4 linked regions of the Macaca fascicularis genome follow. The protein of the gene in region 3 interacts with the protein of the main gene of each other region in a biochemical or structural test. Links are inferred from orthologs where the notes say so. Each region holds a gene or a part of one and is shown on either strand. Other genes may lie near its edges.

The links.
Region 1: the proteins of BCL2L1 (region 3) and HRK interact in a biophysical measurement, tested with the Homo sapiens proteins (3 studies listed by BioGRID and IntAct, with this or other methods). The link is inferred for Macaca fascicularis from reciprocal best matches to the Homo sapiens genes BCL2L1 and HRK.
Region 2: the proteins of BCL2L1 (region 3) and SIVA1 form a complex in vitro, tested with the Homo sapiens proteins (2 studies listed by BioGRID and IntAct). The link is inferred for Macaca fascicularis from reciprocal best matches to the Homo sapiens genes BCL2L1 and SIVA1.
Region 4: the proteins of BCL2L1 (region 3) and BIK interact in a test that uses a peptide from one of them, tested with the Homo sapiens proteins (3 studies listed by BioGRID and IntAct, with this or other methods). The link is inferred for Macaca fascicularis from reciprocal best matches to the Homo sapiens genes BCL2L1 and BIK.

The regions. Positions count from the first base shown.
Region 1 is NC_088385.1:123,848,729-123,852,279, forward strand, and holds the start of HRK (activator of apoptosis harakiri), read right to left. Parts: upstream 2,411-3,551; 5' UTR 2,277-2,410; coding exon 2,001-2,276; 3' UTR 1,945-2,000; intron 1-1,944. UniProt on the Homo sapiens protein: Promotes apoptosis.
Region 2 is NC_088381.1:172,949,032-172,953,034, forward strand, and holds the start of SIVA1 (apoptosis regulatory protein Siva), read left to right. Parts: upstream 1-1,203; 5' UTR 1,204-1,349; coding exon 1,350-1,476; intron 1,477-2,485; coding exon 2,486-2,680; intron 2,681-3,455; coding exon 3,456-3,612; intron 3,613-4,003. UniProt on the Homo sapiens protein: Induces CD27-mediated apoptosis. Inhibits BCL2L1 isoform Bcl-x(L) anti-apoptotic activity. Inhibits activation of NF-kappa-B and promotes T-cell receptor-mediated apoptosis.
Region 3 is NC_088384.1:87,749,910-87,753,597, reverse strand, and holds the end of BCL2L1 (bcl-2-like protein 1), read left to right. Parts: intron 1-1,567; coding exon 1,568-1,705; 3' UTR 1,706-3,188; downstream 3,189-3,688. UniProt on the Homo sapiens protein: Potent inhibitor of cell death. Inhibits activation of caspases. Appears to regulate cell death by blocking the voltage-dependent anion channel (VDAC) by binding to it and preventing the release of the caspase activator, CYC1, from the mitochondrial membrane.
Region 4 is NC_088384.1:8,473,708-8,477,734, forward strand, and holds the start of BIK (bcl-2-interacting killer), read right to left. Parts: upstream 2,801-4,027; 5' UTR 2,747-2,800; intron 1-2,746.

The DNA of each region.
Region 1 (3,551 bases), on a different chromosome or scaffold from region 3:
CCCGCCCCTCCCGCAGCCTCCCCTTCCAGGCCCCGGGAGCGGTCCCATCCCTGACACTTAACACACCGGTAAACGGGAACACAGTCAGGCTCCGGCCCGAGTCCTCCGCCTCCCGGGAGGGTGCACCCGACATCCCGCACGCCTGGTCCCAGGAGGGGAGCGCTTATCCAGTCTCCTGGACAACAGAACCAGAGAAAGACGTGTCCCAGCCCTCTCCACAGTGCTATTTGATTTTACTCCCTTCCTCTCTTTCCTTCTCATTCACTTTTCAATTGTCTTGCAACTTGTTTTCCAGGCAGTTTCTCTTTTTCTCTATCCTCCCCAAACTTCTTGTCCCTCCCCATCTCGTCGCCTGTTTTTTCTCTCCCTCTTCACCCACTTTTTTTTCTGCCTCTTCCCAAATTCCACGCTTTGGACTTCGCGTCTGTCGCTCAACTTCCTTTTTCTGCTCCCCGCGATAGATCTAAAATGTTTTTCCCGTCCCTGGAACTGGGCAGCCTCAGCCTGACCCCTTTCAGTCGCGGGAGCTCCCAGCCTCTCCAACAGGAGAGGGAGAAGGCGGGGAGAAGTGGATGGGACCCCCGGCGCCCGGGAGCCGAGCGGAGAGCGCCCCGAAGTGCGCACTTCTCTTTGCCAGCGCCCGGGCTGCGCGGGCCCACGCGACATCTGTCGCCTGCGGTCCCGGCTCACACCCCGCGCACCCCCGCAGCTCCCTGGGCGCTGCCACCCCCCACGCTCCGGCTGCCGCCTTTCCCCGCGGGCGCAGACGCTCGGGCCTCGCCTTCGGGCGCCGCTCCAACTTCCCAGGGTGTCTGCGGCGCGCGGCGGGGCTCGGCGGCGGGGACCCAATGGCGGCTGGCTATGTCACCTTTGATATTCACCTTCCGGCCCTAGACTCATCTATGGTGGGCTCAGCCTGATTCTCCCTCATTTTCTGCAGCGCTCCTCGCTACTCCAGGATCCAGAGTAGTAAGACGATGCTTACACTGTGCGCTTCCTCAAAGCGCCTAGCACAGTGCCAGGCGCACAGCTAGGGCACAATAATTCCCCCACCCCAAGAACCTAGTATCTTCCTCCCACTGATACCGACCACACTAGGCGCTCAATACCCACTTCCCGTCCTAAGTTCTCAAAGCATTACCCCCCTAAACAGTGCCCAGCACCCCGAAGGAGCTCAATAAATGTTCCTTCCTTAAGGCTTCCCATTGGAGTTTGCCTGAAAGCCTTCTATTCCAGCCCACTCCGAAGGCGTCTCCTTCCCATCGCAGCTACAACCGTCTGGAGAGAAGGAAGCCAAACTCCTTAAACAGGACACCTCACTGGAGAAGGAGCGACGTTGGCAGGGCAGAAGAAAACTGCAAATGCGCGGAGCTTGGGAAGAAAGATTGGGCCAGCCAGAAACCTGGAAGGGGAGGAAGTCTCGAGATGCGCTTGCGGTGCCAGAGAATGGGGATCAGAGATTGGAGAAGTGACACTTAGGGAGAAGAGGTTGGGAGCAAAGGTGATGGAGACGGTGGCGACTCAGGAACAGCAAGAGGCTTGGAAGGGGACCGAGGACCTTTCTTGGAACTGCGATAGACTTTAAGTATTTGCCGTGGCTTACAACTATATTCTCATCGCAGGCACACTTTTTATTTGCATTGTGTGTTTATTTGTGGGGCTGGTGGGGATTATGGAGGTTGAAGTCCTCCTCAAGCCACCGAGCTATAAGTGAGTAGCAAGATGCGCTTAAGGACTCGGAGAGATAGGGGCAGAAATGGTGGACCTGACACTTGGAAGGAAAGACTGGGGACTGGGTAGGAGAGGGGAGCCGGAGATGCTTGCAAGAGAAAAGAACGGAGGAAGAAGGAGAAGGGAAGAGAAAAAAGCCAAACTTGCCACTCTCCCGCTCCCGGGCCAGTGCCCAGCTGCCGCGCCCTGGCTCTCGGTCGCTCGCTCGCGTACCTGTTGCTTGCTCCGGCTGGGTCTCGGCTCCGGCCCCACCAAGAAGCCCCGCGTTCCTACAAGTTCCGCCTGCCGAGCAGCCAGGCCGCCAGCGCCGCCACCTGCGCGGCCGCGCACAGCCAGGGCCAGTAGGTGGGGAGCGCGCCGGACGCCGGCGCCCTCCGGCTCCGCGCGCGGCGCCGCCACATGGTGCGCTGGTGCAGCTCGTCGCCAAGCGCCTTGAGCCGGGCGGCGGTGAGCTGCGCGGCGGACGAGCGCAGCCCCAAGCGACCCGCGCTGCAGGCGCACACGGCCGGGGGGCCGCGGCCGCGGTGCAGGGGGCACGGGCACATGACCGCTGGCCTCGCTCCCGCCCCGCGCTCGGGCCGCCCCTCGCCTCCTCTCCCTCCGGCCTCTGCGCCCGCTGCCGCCGCGCTCCAGCCGCCGGGGGCCTCCCCTGGACACCAAGTTTCTCCTTGTGTTGTGCGTTTGTTGTGCTGACGGCGCTATTATTAATTAAAGTGTCACATGGTGGAGGGGGGCGGGGAGGGGGGTTACATCATCCGGCCCCCGGGGGTGGGGGGGGCTGCAGGCAGAAGAAACCGAGAGGTAACTTTTAACCCTAGCGGCGCCGGCAGCAAGGGGGCGCGAGGTTTGGGAGACCCGGAGCGCGGCGCGGGGCGACGCGAGAAGGCGCCCCGCAGCGGAGGTCCCGGGCTTTGGGGGTCTCAGGGGACCCCCGCGGAGGCGAGGAGCGCGAGGGAAGGTTGTTCTCCTTCCCCTTTTCCTGAATTCAGCTCGAGTTCCGATTTGGCGAGGGAAGAAGGCTTGTTTGCCGTTTTGGATGAAGCTGATACTGAATTCGGCTGCATTATTCAAAAATATTCCGAGGCTGTTGTTTTGTTTGGGGGAGGTGGGTGGATTCAAACTCTTACGGAAGAGCAAGATTACACCTAACTTGCCTCGTTTCAGGTCTGACTTGGCACCTGTAGGCATTTAGCCTGACCCTAACGCGGCCCCAGCGCCTGGCTAGAAACCCTGACGTAGGCGTGATAGGGGGCTGGATGGGTCGGTCCTGAGCTCGCGAGGGGCGTGGATGGAGGCATTCTCGCTGCCCAGCACCCACACCCAAAAGACCCTCACAAGGGGCTTTCTAAAGGGAAACTTCTTGTCTGCTTTCTTTGTGAATATTATTTTCCTGATGGGGTTACAGTTTTCTGCGACGATCCCAATTTAATGCGCAGTGAATACCCTAAGGAGTCGGCGAGAGGAGGGGCGCGGGGGACTTTAATTCCTCCTTTTTCAACCCGACAGCCACTCCTGTGCACCTCCAGACTGGAGCGTCTGGAATTGTCACAGCCAGTGACGGTTCAGATGGGCTGGGCGGCTCTCAGCATTCTGTGGGGGGAGAATGAAACCTGCGATCTTAAATCGACTGGGATTCAGACAACTTTAGGATTCAGACGATCGGGATGAGTCCAGAGGTGGCTCCAAGTTGGGAGTCTGGAACCTGCTGAGGAAGCTTCCATTCTTTCCTTCCCACCGCACAGTATAACCAAGATTCTTCAAGTCTGTGAACTTAGTTTTGGTCTGAATTGATCAGGAGGAGAAATGTCCCTTTTGGCCTA
Region 2 (4,003 bases), on a different chromosome or scaffold from region 3:
AGCCCCGCCCCCCACTTCACCCGCAGCCTATCACGCGCCGCGTCGCTTCCTCTGCCTCAAACCCGCTCACGCCCGCGGATGGGCGCGCGGCTGTGACGTCACTGCGTCGTTGGTAAGGGGCTGGCGGCCGGGGGGCTGCGTAGCTCCCGGCCCCGAGGCAATGCCCAAGCGGGGCTGCCCTTTCGCGGACGCGGCCCCGCTACAGCTCAAGGTCCGCGTGGGCCAGAGGGAGGTGAGCCGCGGCGTGTGTGCCGAGCGCTACTCGCAGGAGGTCTTCGGTGAGTGCCGGAAGGGCTGCCGAGGGTCCACTGCGTCGGGGCCTGGAACGGGCCGGACCTCAGTGTCTCCTCTGAGGCCTGAGCGGGGGGCTCGAGGGCCCTGCTTTCTGGCCGCGGTTACACAAGCTGGCCACGCCCAGGGCTGGAGTCAGTGAGGGGGATGTGAGGACCCCAGCGTTCACCCACCTTGTCCAACAACCTGAAAGAAGAGGGTCGCTGCCCTTAGTCCCCGTGCCCTCTTCCACGATCCCAGTTAGTCGCCGCCCCTCAGTGAGCGGCAGCTGCCTGGTGCTTCTTCAGGACTGTCCCGTGCAGGATGCCCTGGGAGAGGTCGGGGAGCGGGGCGTCCTGCATGGAGTTAACCTGAAGAGTGCCCCTCCTGACCCAAGAGGTATTCATGGAGCGCGCCGCCCCTGCCAGGCACTGCGGCTGTCCTGGGAGACCAAAGGCGGGCAAGACAGATGTGTCCCGTCTCCCGGGAGCTCCGCAACCTAGTTGGGGAGACCAGCAGGAGAAGGAATCGCCACAGGTGATCCGGGCAGGCACAGGTTTGTGCAGTCGCACCTGCAGGGACGGCATGGAAGGCTTCTCGGAAGAACAGAGTCTGAGCCGAATGCTGTGGGGAGAGTGCGAGTTAATCAGGCAGAGGCAGGGACGGAAGAGGCCGAGGCAGAAGCCAGGCAGCAGGAGAGCGAAGTAGGACTCCGTGTGGCTGGAATGTCCAGTTCTGGGTGGGATGTGAGGGCAGTGAGCTCCCAGGCCTTCTCTGGCTTTCTCCCTTGGATTTCAGGCGTGTTGGTCTTATTGATCATCACTCTGACTGGGATGATTAATACCCTGGGGCAGGTGCAAAGTGGAGCTTACCTTGCCTAGTGGTTGGGGCACAAGGTCTGCACCTGTAGAGCCGTTAGAGGATGACCCGGGGGGTGTGATTTGTCTGGTGCCGCTTGTGCCTTGGGGATGAAGGAAAGACGCTTCCTCCCGAGGTTCCTGTGTGCCGTGTCTCCAGTGTGCTAGGGCTGTGCAAGCGAGTGCTATCCCGGGCCATGCGGAGTTAAGAGGAATGATGCCATGGGAACTGTGGCTGGACTGCAGGCGCCTGCCCTCTCAGGACAGTTGAAAAATTCAAACACTGTGCAGGCAAGAAAGGAAGATGGAAACGGGGCCTGGCTCAGTCTGGCTCTTTACTCTTTACAAAGTAGGTAAATGCAGGACACCTACTTTGAACTGTGTGACAGTTTCCAAATTCCAGGCCACAGCTGTCACCCTGATCTCTTAACCTCGAATTGTCCACAAGGCCTTAAGGACAAGGATTAGCCTCACCACATGTCTGTCCCATTCCTTTCCCATTATAGATGGGGGAAGGTATGGGGGGCCAGAAGGAAGAGGTGCAGGGTGTTGTGGGCTGGCATCAGCTACTCCATTTGAGTTACCCACTATTATTGCTGCCCATTTCATGTAAAGCCACATAGAGTTTCTGGGATCTCTGCCTTTACTGTGTTATAATGAGGTGGGAAAAAAAAAGCAAAAACAAAGCATTTCTGGGTCTGGTCCTGGGCATCTGATTTTTGGAACCTCCCCCAGTGACTGAACTGTGGCCTGATGGAAAATCACTGCTCCCAGGGATGGGTGGGTATTCTAGAACGAGATCTGGAAGGTTCTGGGATGCTTGTCTTGCCAGCAACTCTGTAGCAGGCGAAGGGGGTGTGCGCTGGCCAGAGGCTGCAGGCCCAGCTCCAAGCTTCTGGCTGCTTCCTTGGCAGTGACAAGCTTTGTGAATTAGTGCTCCACAGTGCAGAGCTCCCTCTGTGCATTCCACAGAGCCTGCTTTCCAGGTGAGGAGTGCTGGGGAAGCAGAAAAGGGAGAAAGGGGAACAAGCTCAGTGAGGCAAGGCCGGCCGTGAGTTGCCGAAAGTGAGCAGAGTGATAGGAGAGGGAACCCTTGCATCAGGCACAGGTGGGGCTGCAGGGCCTGAGCCTTCCTGGAGGAGATGACAACTAAGCCAGGTAAGGAAGGGAGGCACGAGCATTCTCAGAGGCAGAGCAGGACCCAGCTCGCCAGGGCACAACACAGGCTGGGGTCACTGGGTGACAGAGGGCACACAGGAGGACGATGGGGTTCATGTGAGGCTGGAAAGACTAAGTGGCCATGCAGGGGCTTCGTTGGTACACAGTGAAGGATGTGAGAATGATTTGTCTTCCCCCAGAGAAGACCAAGCGACTCCTCTTCCTCGGGGCCCAGGCCTACCTGGACCATGTGTGGGATGAAGGCTGTGCCGTCGTTCACCTGCCAGAGTCCCCAAAGCCTGGCCCTACAGGGGCGCCGAGGGCTGCACGTGGGCAGATGCTGATTGGACCAGACGGCCGCCTGATCAGGAGCCTTGGGCAGGCCTCCGAAGCTGGTGAGTGGCACCAGCAGCCCTTCGTGGCTGTGGCACTGAGAGCAGGTGGTGGCACAGGCACTTTTCTTCATTTGCAAGCTCAGGCTTTTCCTCCCTGGGGAAGCAGGAGTCTGACCTAGAGCTTGGCCTTCTGGCTCAGAAGGCTCCTGTTATCAGGAGGTCTCACATTCAAGACTGGAAGTGATTAAACAGTTTCTAACTACTGGGCCAGAAAAGCAGCAGAGACTCCCTGGGTATCCCATCTGCTTTCCGCGTGCAGCCCCCTGGAATGGTCCCACATGGCTGGAAACACGCCGCTCCCATCCCTGTGCAGTGTGGAGTGTGGGTCTCAGAGCATCACCTGTGTTGCTGGTCAGAAATGCAGTCCCCGACCCTACCTCAAGGCTGGTTGGTGTGTCTGGGAGGAGCTCAGGCACCTCTTGGTTAACCAGTAAGGCAGTGGGCCACACTTTGAGACCCAGATGGGACACATGGAGTTCGACAAGCAGCAGGGGAAGAATGATCCTTCCAGCAGGTAGCAGAGGGACCTGGTGAGGGAAGGAGCACTGAACTTGGAGTCACCTGCAGGCATGTCTCACGTTGGATCTCGCTAGTGAAACGGGGTCCTGTGCACTGTGCCAGGCTTCTGGGTTGTCAGAAGGACCCAGTGTGGGTGAGGATGGGGTAAGCAGGTCGGAGCCCTCTGCCCTCAGGTGTGCATGGAGGCAGGTAGCCCAGCAGTCCCGGAAACTCCCGTCTCCTTGCAGGCTGACAGCATGGCGTTTCTTCCTCACAGACCCATCCGGGATAGTGTCCATCGCCTGCTCCTCATGTGTGCGAGCCGTAGATGGGAAGGCCGTCTGCAGCCAGTGTGAGCGAGCCCTGTGCGGGCGGTGTGTGCGCACCTGCTGGGGCTGTGGCTCTGTGGCCTGTACCCTGTGTGGCCTCGTGGAGTAAGTACTTCAGTCCCTGGAGCTGCTGAGGTCCCGTAACCCCAGAAAGCTGTGACGGGGGACAGGTGGGTCACCCATGTTGGGAAGGGCCCAGAGCTCCCACATGTGTGGCACCTGATGCAGTGCCATCTGGCATTGCCTAACGGGACATGGTGGCAATAGATGCTTGGCCCAACTTTAGTGGTAGTAATCCTCTCTAAGGGAAAGCTCAACCTCACAGATGACCTGCTGTGTATCCAGCTCCGGTCCCTGTCTTCAGCCGCTTCCTGTTCTGGTCTTTGAGCGCCCCCACCTCCTCCTCCTCTGGCCTTTGAGCACCCCCCTCCCGGTCCTCCTCACTGTCTGAGAAGCCCCTGGTTGGTGACACAGGTGCACACTGCAGCTTCGCCAC
Region 3 (3,688 bases):
GGGTCACAAGTGAGCAAATTGGTAGGTGAGACCTGAGGCCAACTGGAGATGGCATGCCCTGACGGAGCAGCCACTCGCCTGTTTGGGACCGGTTGGAAATGTAGGCCCAGTGTGGCAGAGGTCTTGGTAGAGAGGCAAGAATCAGCCAGTAACTCATTCATTTTACACACACACACACGGAACTTACTTTTTTGTTGTTGTTATTGTTGAGACGGAGTCTCTGTCACCCAGGCTGGAGTGCAGTGGTATGATTTCTGCTCCCTGCAACCTCCACCTCCCAGGTTCAAACAATTCTCGTGCCTCAGCCTCCTGAGTAACTGGGATTACAGGTGCGTGCTACCACACCTGGCTAATTTTTGTATTTTTAGTAGAGACGGGGTTTCACCATGTTGGCCAGACTTGTCTTAACTCCTGACCTCAGGCGATCCACCCGCCTCAGCCTCCCAAAGTGCTGGGATTATAGGCATGAGCCACCACACCCAGCCTGGAACTTCTTTCTTACATATTTCTAGGTGCCAGACACCAGTTTTGGATTCTGGCTCCACCACTGACACAGATGGGTGACCTTGATCTACTCCTTGGGTCCTTGGCCCTTGGGCACAGCTTCTTGGCCTGTAAATGGGGAGAGACAGCCTGCATTGCAGAATTGTTGGGAGGATTAAAGGACAAATTGGGTACAATGCTTACTCATAAAAAAGTATGTTCTAAGTGTCCCTCTCCCTGCCCCACAGGCTGCTGCACCCTGGGCTGGGTAGTTTAGCCCACAGCTCCTCCTTCCCCCTATCATGTGCTTCCCTTCTGACTTAGATTCGGAGCAGAGGGCTGTTGATCACAACCTCCTGGGCGCAGAGTCACACTCCCTGCAGTGGAGGACAGGGACAAGGCCTCACAGACCCCATCATGGAGGCCTCTCAGTCCTGCGTCATTGTTACCCTCTCTTCTCTGCCGTGCTCTTCTCATCACCAACCTGCCCACCAGAGACTCCCTCCAGAGGGAGGAGCCTCTGGCTGAAGTCCCAGGACCCAGTCTACCCCTGAATTGGCCCCAAATCACCCTGGGGATTTAGCCCTGGGCTTCCTTGTCCCTCCCTCTGGTGCAGCAGTAGAAAGTCTGAGGCCTAGTGTCTCCACACTCCACACTACCCTCAGACTCAACTCCAGGCTCCTCGCGGCTTCCCGGCCACACATGGTCTGGCTCCTGCTCACCCCTGCACCATCATCTCCCCCATGCCCTCTTCTCCTGCACTCTGCTCCAGTCACCTGGCTTCCATCAGTTCCCTGACCCTGCCCATCTCGTTCCCACCTTGGATTCTGGAGAAAGTGCTACTTGCTGACCTCAGGGCACTTTCCTCCTCTCTACCTGTTTTCTGAGCAGTAACATGGTTTGGTTATCACCAACTGAGGGTCAAGAAAGAGGACCACCCTTAGCCCTTTACCTGGCCCAGAGTGGGCACGGATGGCTACAGTTTTTCATGTCACCAAGGCCATAGCATGCACATGGCCCCTTTCCCCACCCACCTACATTACTCTGAGAATTCAAACTGCGCCTTCCTTCTCTCTCCCTGCAGGACACTTTTGTGGAACTCTATGGGAACAATGCAGCAGCCGAGAGCCGAAAGGGCCAGGAGCGCTTCAACCGCTGGTTCCTGACGGGCATGACTGTGGCCGGCGTGGTTCTGCTGGGCTCACTCTTCAGTCGGAAATGACCAGACACTGACTATCCACTCTACCCTCCCACCCTCTGCCCCACCACATCCTCCGTCCAGCCGCCATTGCCACCAGGAGAACCACTATATGCAGGCCATGCCCACCTACCCACCACAGGGTTGGGCCCAGATCTGGTCCCCTGCAGTTAGTTTTCTAGAATTTATCACACTTCTGTGAGACCCCCACACCTCAGTTCCCTTGGCCTCAGAATTCATAAAATTTCCACAAAATCTATCCCAAGGAGGCTGGCAGGTATGGAAGGGTTTGTGGCTAGGGGCAGGAGGGCCCTACCTGATTGGTGCAACCCTTACCCTTTAGCCTCCCTGAAAATGTTTTTCTGCCAGGGAGCTTGAAAGTTTTCAGAACCTCTTCCCCAGAAAGGAGACTAGATTGCCTTTGTTTTGATGTTTGTGGCCTCAGAATTGATCATTCCCCCGCCCCCCCCACACTAACCTGGGTTCCCGTTCCTTCCATCCCTACCCCCTAAGAGCCATTTAGGGGCCACTTTTGACTAGGGATTCAGGCTGCTTGGGATAAAGATGCAAGGACCAGGACTCCCTCCTCACCTCTGGACTGGCTAGAGTCCTCACTCCCAGTCCACATGTCCTCCAGAAGCCTCTGGCTAGAGGCCAGCCCCACCCAGGAGGGAGGGGGCTATAGCTGCAGGAAGCACCCCATGCCAATGCTAGGGTGGCCCTTGCAGTTCAGCACCACCCTAGTCCCTTCCCCTCCCTGGCTCCCATGACCATGACTGAGGGACCAACTGGGCCCAAGACAGGTGCCCCAGAGCTGTTTATGGCCTCAGCTGCCTCACTTCCTACAAGAGCAGCCTGTGGCACCACAGGCTTGGGCTGCTCCTCATGGCGGGTTCAGGGGACTCAGTCCTAAGGTGAAAGGAAGCTATCAGGAACAGCTATGAGCCCCAGGCTCTTCCCTACCTCAGGCAGGAAGGGCAGGAAGGAGAGCCTGCTGCATGGGGTGGGGTAGGGCTGACTAGAAGGGCCAGTCCTGCCTGGCCAGGCACATCTGTGCCCCACGCCTGTCCAGCCTGGGGAGCCAGGCTACCAAGGTCAGAGTGGCCTGGCCAGGAGCTCTTCAGGCCTCCCTCTCTCTTCTCCACCCTTGGCCTGTCTCATCCCCAGGGGTCCCAGCCACCCCGGGCGCTCTGCTGTACATATTCGAGACTAGTTTTTATTCCTTGTGAAGATGATATACTATTTTTGTTAAGCGTGTCTGTATTTATGTGTGAGGAGCTGCTGGCTTGCAGTGCGCGTGCACGTGGAGAGCTGGTGCCCGGAGATTGGACGGCCTGATGCTCCCTCCCCTGCCCTGGTCCAGGGAAGCTGGCCGAGGGTCCTGGCTCCTGAGGGGCACCTGCCCCTCCCCCAACCCCCACCCCACACTTGTTCCAGCTCTTTGAAATAGTCTGTGTGAAGGTGAAAGTGCAGTTCAGTAATAAACTGTGTTTACTCAGTGAACAAAGAGCCTGGGCTCTTGTGTGCTCTGGGATGGAGAAAGGAGGGGCCACTGGAGAGCTGGGTACTGGTCCTGGCTCTGCCACCGCAGGGGAGGGCCCTGAACAAGTCCTTCCTTCCTTCTGGGCCTGAATGTATCCACCTGTACCAGGACAGGGTTTTATTGAGCACATGCTGTGTGCTGGGCACTGGGGCTGCATGTGATGGGACAGAGAGTCTCTGCCCTCAGGAGCTGACATTCTAGTGGGAGAGACAGCCACTTGGCAAGTGTTTACTGAGCTCTGCTCTACACAGACATAGTCCTGGGCACTGGGGACTTCTTCAAACAAAATCTTTGCCTTTACGTAGCATTCATTCTAGTGGAGGAGACAGACACAAGCACGGCTCTGGCTGCTGTAGGGTGTCGGGGAAAGGTGTGATGCCTTTCCTCACCCAGCAGAAGATTCTATGACTGACATTCCTATAACAAAAGAAAAACAAAGTGGCAGTTCACACCCTGTAATCTCA
Region 4 (4,027 bases), about 79 Mb from region 3:
TTGCAGCTCTGTGGCATAAGATATCATTTTTTTTTTTTTTTTCTGAGATGGAGTCTCATGTTAGCCCAGGCTGAGTGCAGTGAGTGGTGCCATCTCTGCTCACTGCAATCTCCACCTCCTGGGTTCAAGCAATCCTCCCGCCTTGGCCTCCCAAAGTGCTGTGATTACAGGCAAGTCAAATGTGTAAGAAACTTGAGCCAGGCGAGGTGGCTCACGCATGTATTCCCAGCCATTGCACTCCAGCCTGGGCAACAAGAGTGAAACTCCGTCTCAAATAAAAAAAAACTTACAATAACTAATATGTATGCAGCCCCTCTATCTAGCCATAGAGTACCTGAGCTGTAACAGACACTGGGGATCTACCATTTGATGCTTTTTTTTTCCTTTGACAGAGAGTCTCACTCTGTGGCCCAGGCTGGAGTGCAGTGGTATGATCTCAGCTCAGTGCAACCTCCGCCTCCCAGGGTCAAGCAGTTCTCCTGCCTCAGTCTCCCAAGTAGCTGGGATTACAGGCATACTCCAACACGCCTGGCTAATTTTTGCATTTTTAAAACAGACTGATTTTGCCATGTTGGCCAGGCTAGTTGCACAACTCCTGACCTCAGGTGATCCATCTCCCTCGGCCTCCCAAAGTGCTAGGATTACAGATGTCAGCCACCATGCCCAGCCTAATGCTCCTTTTTTTGAGACAGGGTCTCACTCTGTCTCCCCGGCTAGAGTGCAGTGGTGTGATCAGGGCTCACTGCAGCCTTAACCCCTCCAAGCTCAGGTAGTCCTCTGAACTCAGCCTCCTGGGTAGCTAGGAACAGAGGCACATGCCACCATGCCCAGTTAATTTTTTGCTTTTTTTGGTAGAGACAGTGTTTCACCATGTTACCCAGTCTGGTCTCAATCTACTGAGCTCAAGCAATCCTCCTGCCTCAGCCTCCCAAAGTGCTAGGATTACAGGCACGTGTCAAATGTGTGAGAATTTTAGTCTTAATATCCTTAAGACAATAATGATAATAATAATAATAATAGTAATAATAATAAAAGGGCCGGGCATGGGGCCACATCTGTAATCCCAGCACTTTGGGAGGCTGAGGTGGGTGGATCGCCTGAGGTCAGGAGGAGTTCGAGACTACCTTGGCCAACATGGTGAAATCCCGTCTCTACTAAAAATACAAAAAATTAGCTGGGTGTCGTGGTGGGCGCCTGTAATCCCAGCTACTAGGGAGGCTAAGGCAGGAGAATGGCTTGAACCCAGGAAGTGGAGGTTGCAGTGAGCCGAGATCACGCCCCTGCACTCCAGCCTGGGCAACAAAAGCAAAGCTCTTGTTTCAAAAAACAAAACAAAACAAAACAAAAAAACACCCAGACTGTGCCATTTCTGAGAACTTATTCCAAAGACATGCCCAAATTAAGTAGAAATCAGGGTAAGTCTTAACTACACGGAGGCTACTAACTTGAGTCGGGCTTTCTTCATCTGGGCAGAAACCTCAGAAATACATTTTGCAGAATGAACAGAAGGAACTGAGGTTCAGAGAGATGGAATAGCCCTTCGGAGGCCACAGGGCTGGAGAGTGTAAAGAGGTTTTGGCTTGGGTTCCATAAAGGGTCCTTGGCTTCCAGCTAGACAACCCTGGCATTTCTGTGCCTCCTGTGACTGAAATCTCTTGTTTCTCCACCTGGAAAACGAGGCCTCCTGCTCCCAAGGACGGACAGATGTTAATAACTTCCCGGCGCTAGTGCCCACCAGACTCTGCTCCTCCTAATGTGGGGACATGAGGCAGACACCAACCTCCCTGGGAAGCTCGGGCTCCCAGGCCACAGTAAACACTGCGTTAAAACAGCAACAAAAATGTTACAGTAGTAAGAGCAACAACAACATCAACAACCACGTCCTACCCCACAAGTGGCTCATTCTGGCAAAACTGACAATGAAGGGGCTTGAAAGCGATCGCATTTAGGAGGCCAGAGCCCAGACGACGACCAGCTCCGAACCCCACAAGCCTTGTCGTGACCGCGCCCCGCAGGCGGGGGGACCCCTCTCGGGTCACCCGCAGGGGCGCACCCCCAATTTACCTAACAAGGTCGCACGCCCCAGCCGGGCTCTAGTCCCCGCGACCAGTCCGGGGCGCACCTGTGCAGGGCGCATGGGCAGGTGTGGGCGGGCGGCTGCGCGCCGCTCCGGGTGCACGTTCCTGTTCCGGACTTTCTGGGCGTCCCGTTACGAAGCATTTCCTCGGCCCTTAGGTGCACAGCGCCTCTGGGAGCCGGTCCCAGCAGCACCGGGCACGACGCCATCTTCCCTCTTTTAAGGGCACCGGGGCTGTGCGGCAGCGGCCGTGGGCTGGCGGTGCCGCGCTGCGCTCTGGCCGGGTCCGCACGACCCCAGAGGTCGGAGTCCGGTGCCCGGAAGCCGCCCTCGAGGATGGTGCGAGGGCGATGGAGCGTCCGGCCATAGCGGTGAGACGCAGAGGAACCACCCCATTGCACAGGCGCGGAGACTGAGGCCCGCAGGGGCCGCGCCTGGCACGATCGGCCGTCGGGGACCTGGAGCCCTGGGCAGAAAGGGGATGTTTCGGAGCCGGAGTCCCGAGACGTCGCCCCACAAGGGACTCGCCAGCGACTTGCTGAGGCGGAAAAACCTGGGCACGGGTCCCCACACTTCCAGCCGCTCGGCACCCGGGCCGCGGCCTGGGCGCTAACCGCCGGGCTCGAGCTGGGTGGAGCGGCGGGCGGCAGCAGGGTCAGGGGCACTCACCTGGCGGCGGCGATGCTGGCAGCGTCTGTGAGCCACCGGAGAAGCTTCGTGTCTACTGCCCGGCTGCCGGCGCGGGACCTAATAGGTCCGGGCGCCCCGCCCCTCCCGCCCCGCCCGGGTCCCGCCCCGCCCCGGGAGCGGCCTCTCGCACCCCGAGCGCGGAATCCCGGACTGGGGTCTGAATGGCATTGGCAACAGAACCGCTACAAGTGCAGCCGGTTGGCTTGTTTACAGCCTCTCTGCCCCCTGCGGTTCTGCAAGCTTGTTTTGTCCCGTGCGTCGCTGTTTCCCCTGCGCCCAGCACGGGCGTGCAGTCGAGATCGATCCATTGACAGAATCTGGGTGTATAATCCAAGCCCTTTACACAGATGGCCTCCCTTCGAGCTCAAAGTACTCCTCGGTGCTTTTTTTCACGATCATTTTACCCACCGAGGCTCCAAGAGGACGAAATGACTTGCTAAATGACAGCGTGAAGCCAGCGTTCAAAAACGTGCTCCTTAGGCTGGCAGCTTCGGGACTTAGGTGTTTTTAAGCCTATTTCACGAATATGAAAACCGAGGTTCACACTTGGGTAGCAGCAGCATCCAGTGCTCCATACCCGAAGCCAGGGGGACTGGCCCTCCACTGCCGCCCGTCCGCAGCCTTCCAGCTGCAGCACCCACCCCCTGCCTTCCCCCTCTCGTCGGGGCTCCGGGTGCGCGAGAGGCAGGTCGGAACGGGAGGGATTGGGGGCAGGGGGCCCACGTGCAGACCTGGTGAGAAGGACCCCAAAGCCCCCGCGAGGGACAGAGAAATCAGGAAGGTTCCAGGCGGGGTGGGCTGGTGGCAGCCTGCCCCGCGGGGATGAGTAGTGCCTAACAGCGGCACTGGGGTATATTGGGGGTGGGAGAAGGCAGAGCGCTCTTGGAATAACAAAGTAACAATTGTCCTGCGCACAGCAAAGCTTGTTTACCTCTGTCTTGATCCCCTCAGAGATTAGGGGAGGGGCAGGGGAGGGGCAGGGGAGGGGCAGGGGAGGGGCAGGGGCTCCCCTCCCCCAGCTCTGTCGTTTGCTACCTGTTGGGTACCCTCACTCTGTTCTTCCCACCTGTAGGGTAATTACTTCCCCCTCAGTGTTCTCATCTGTGAAATGGACAACAGCACCTACCAAGAGCTGGGCTTTTGGGAGGACCAGAGGAGGTAAAGCCTGATAAAGTCTTCAGAGCCCCTCCCTCCTTCTGGGCCTTGGACCTTCTTTGCTTTTGTAGTTTGTTGTTGTTGTTGTTGTTGTTGTTGGTTGGT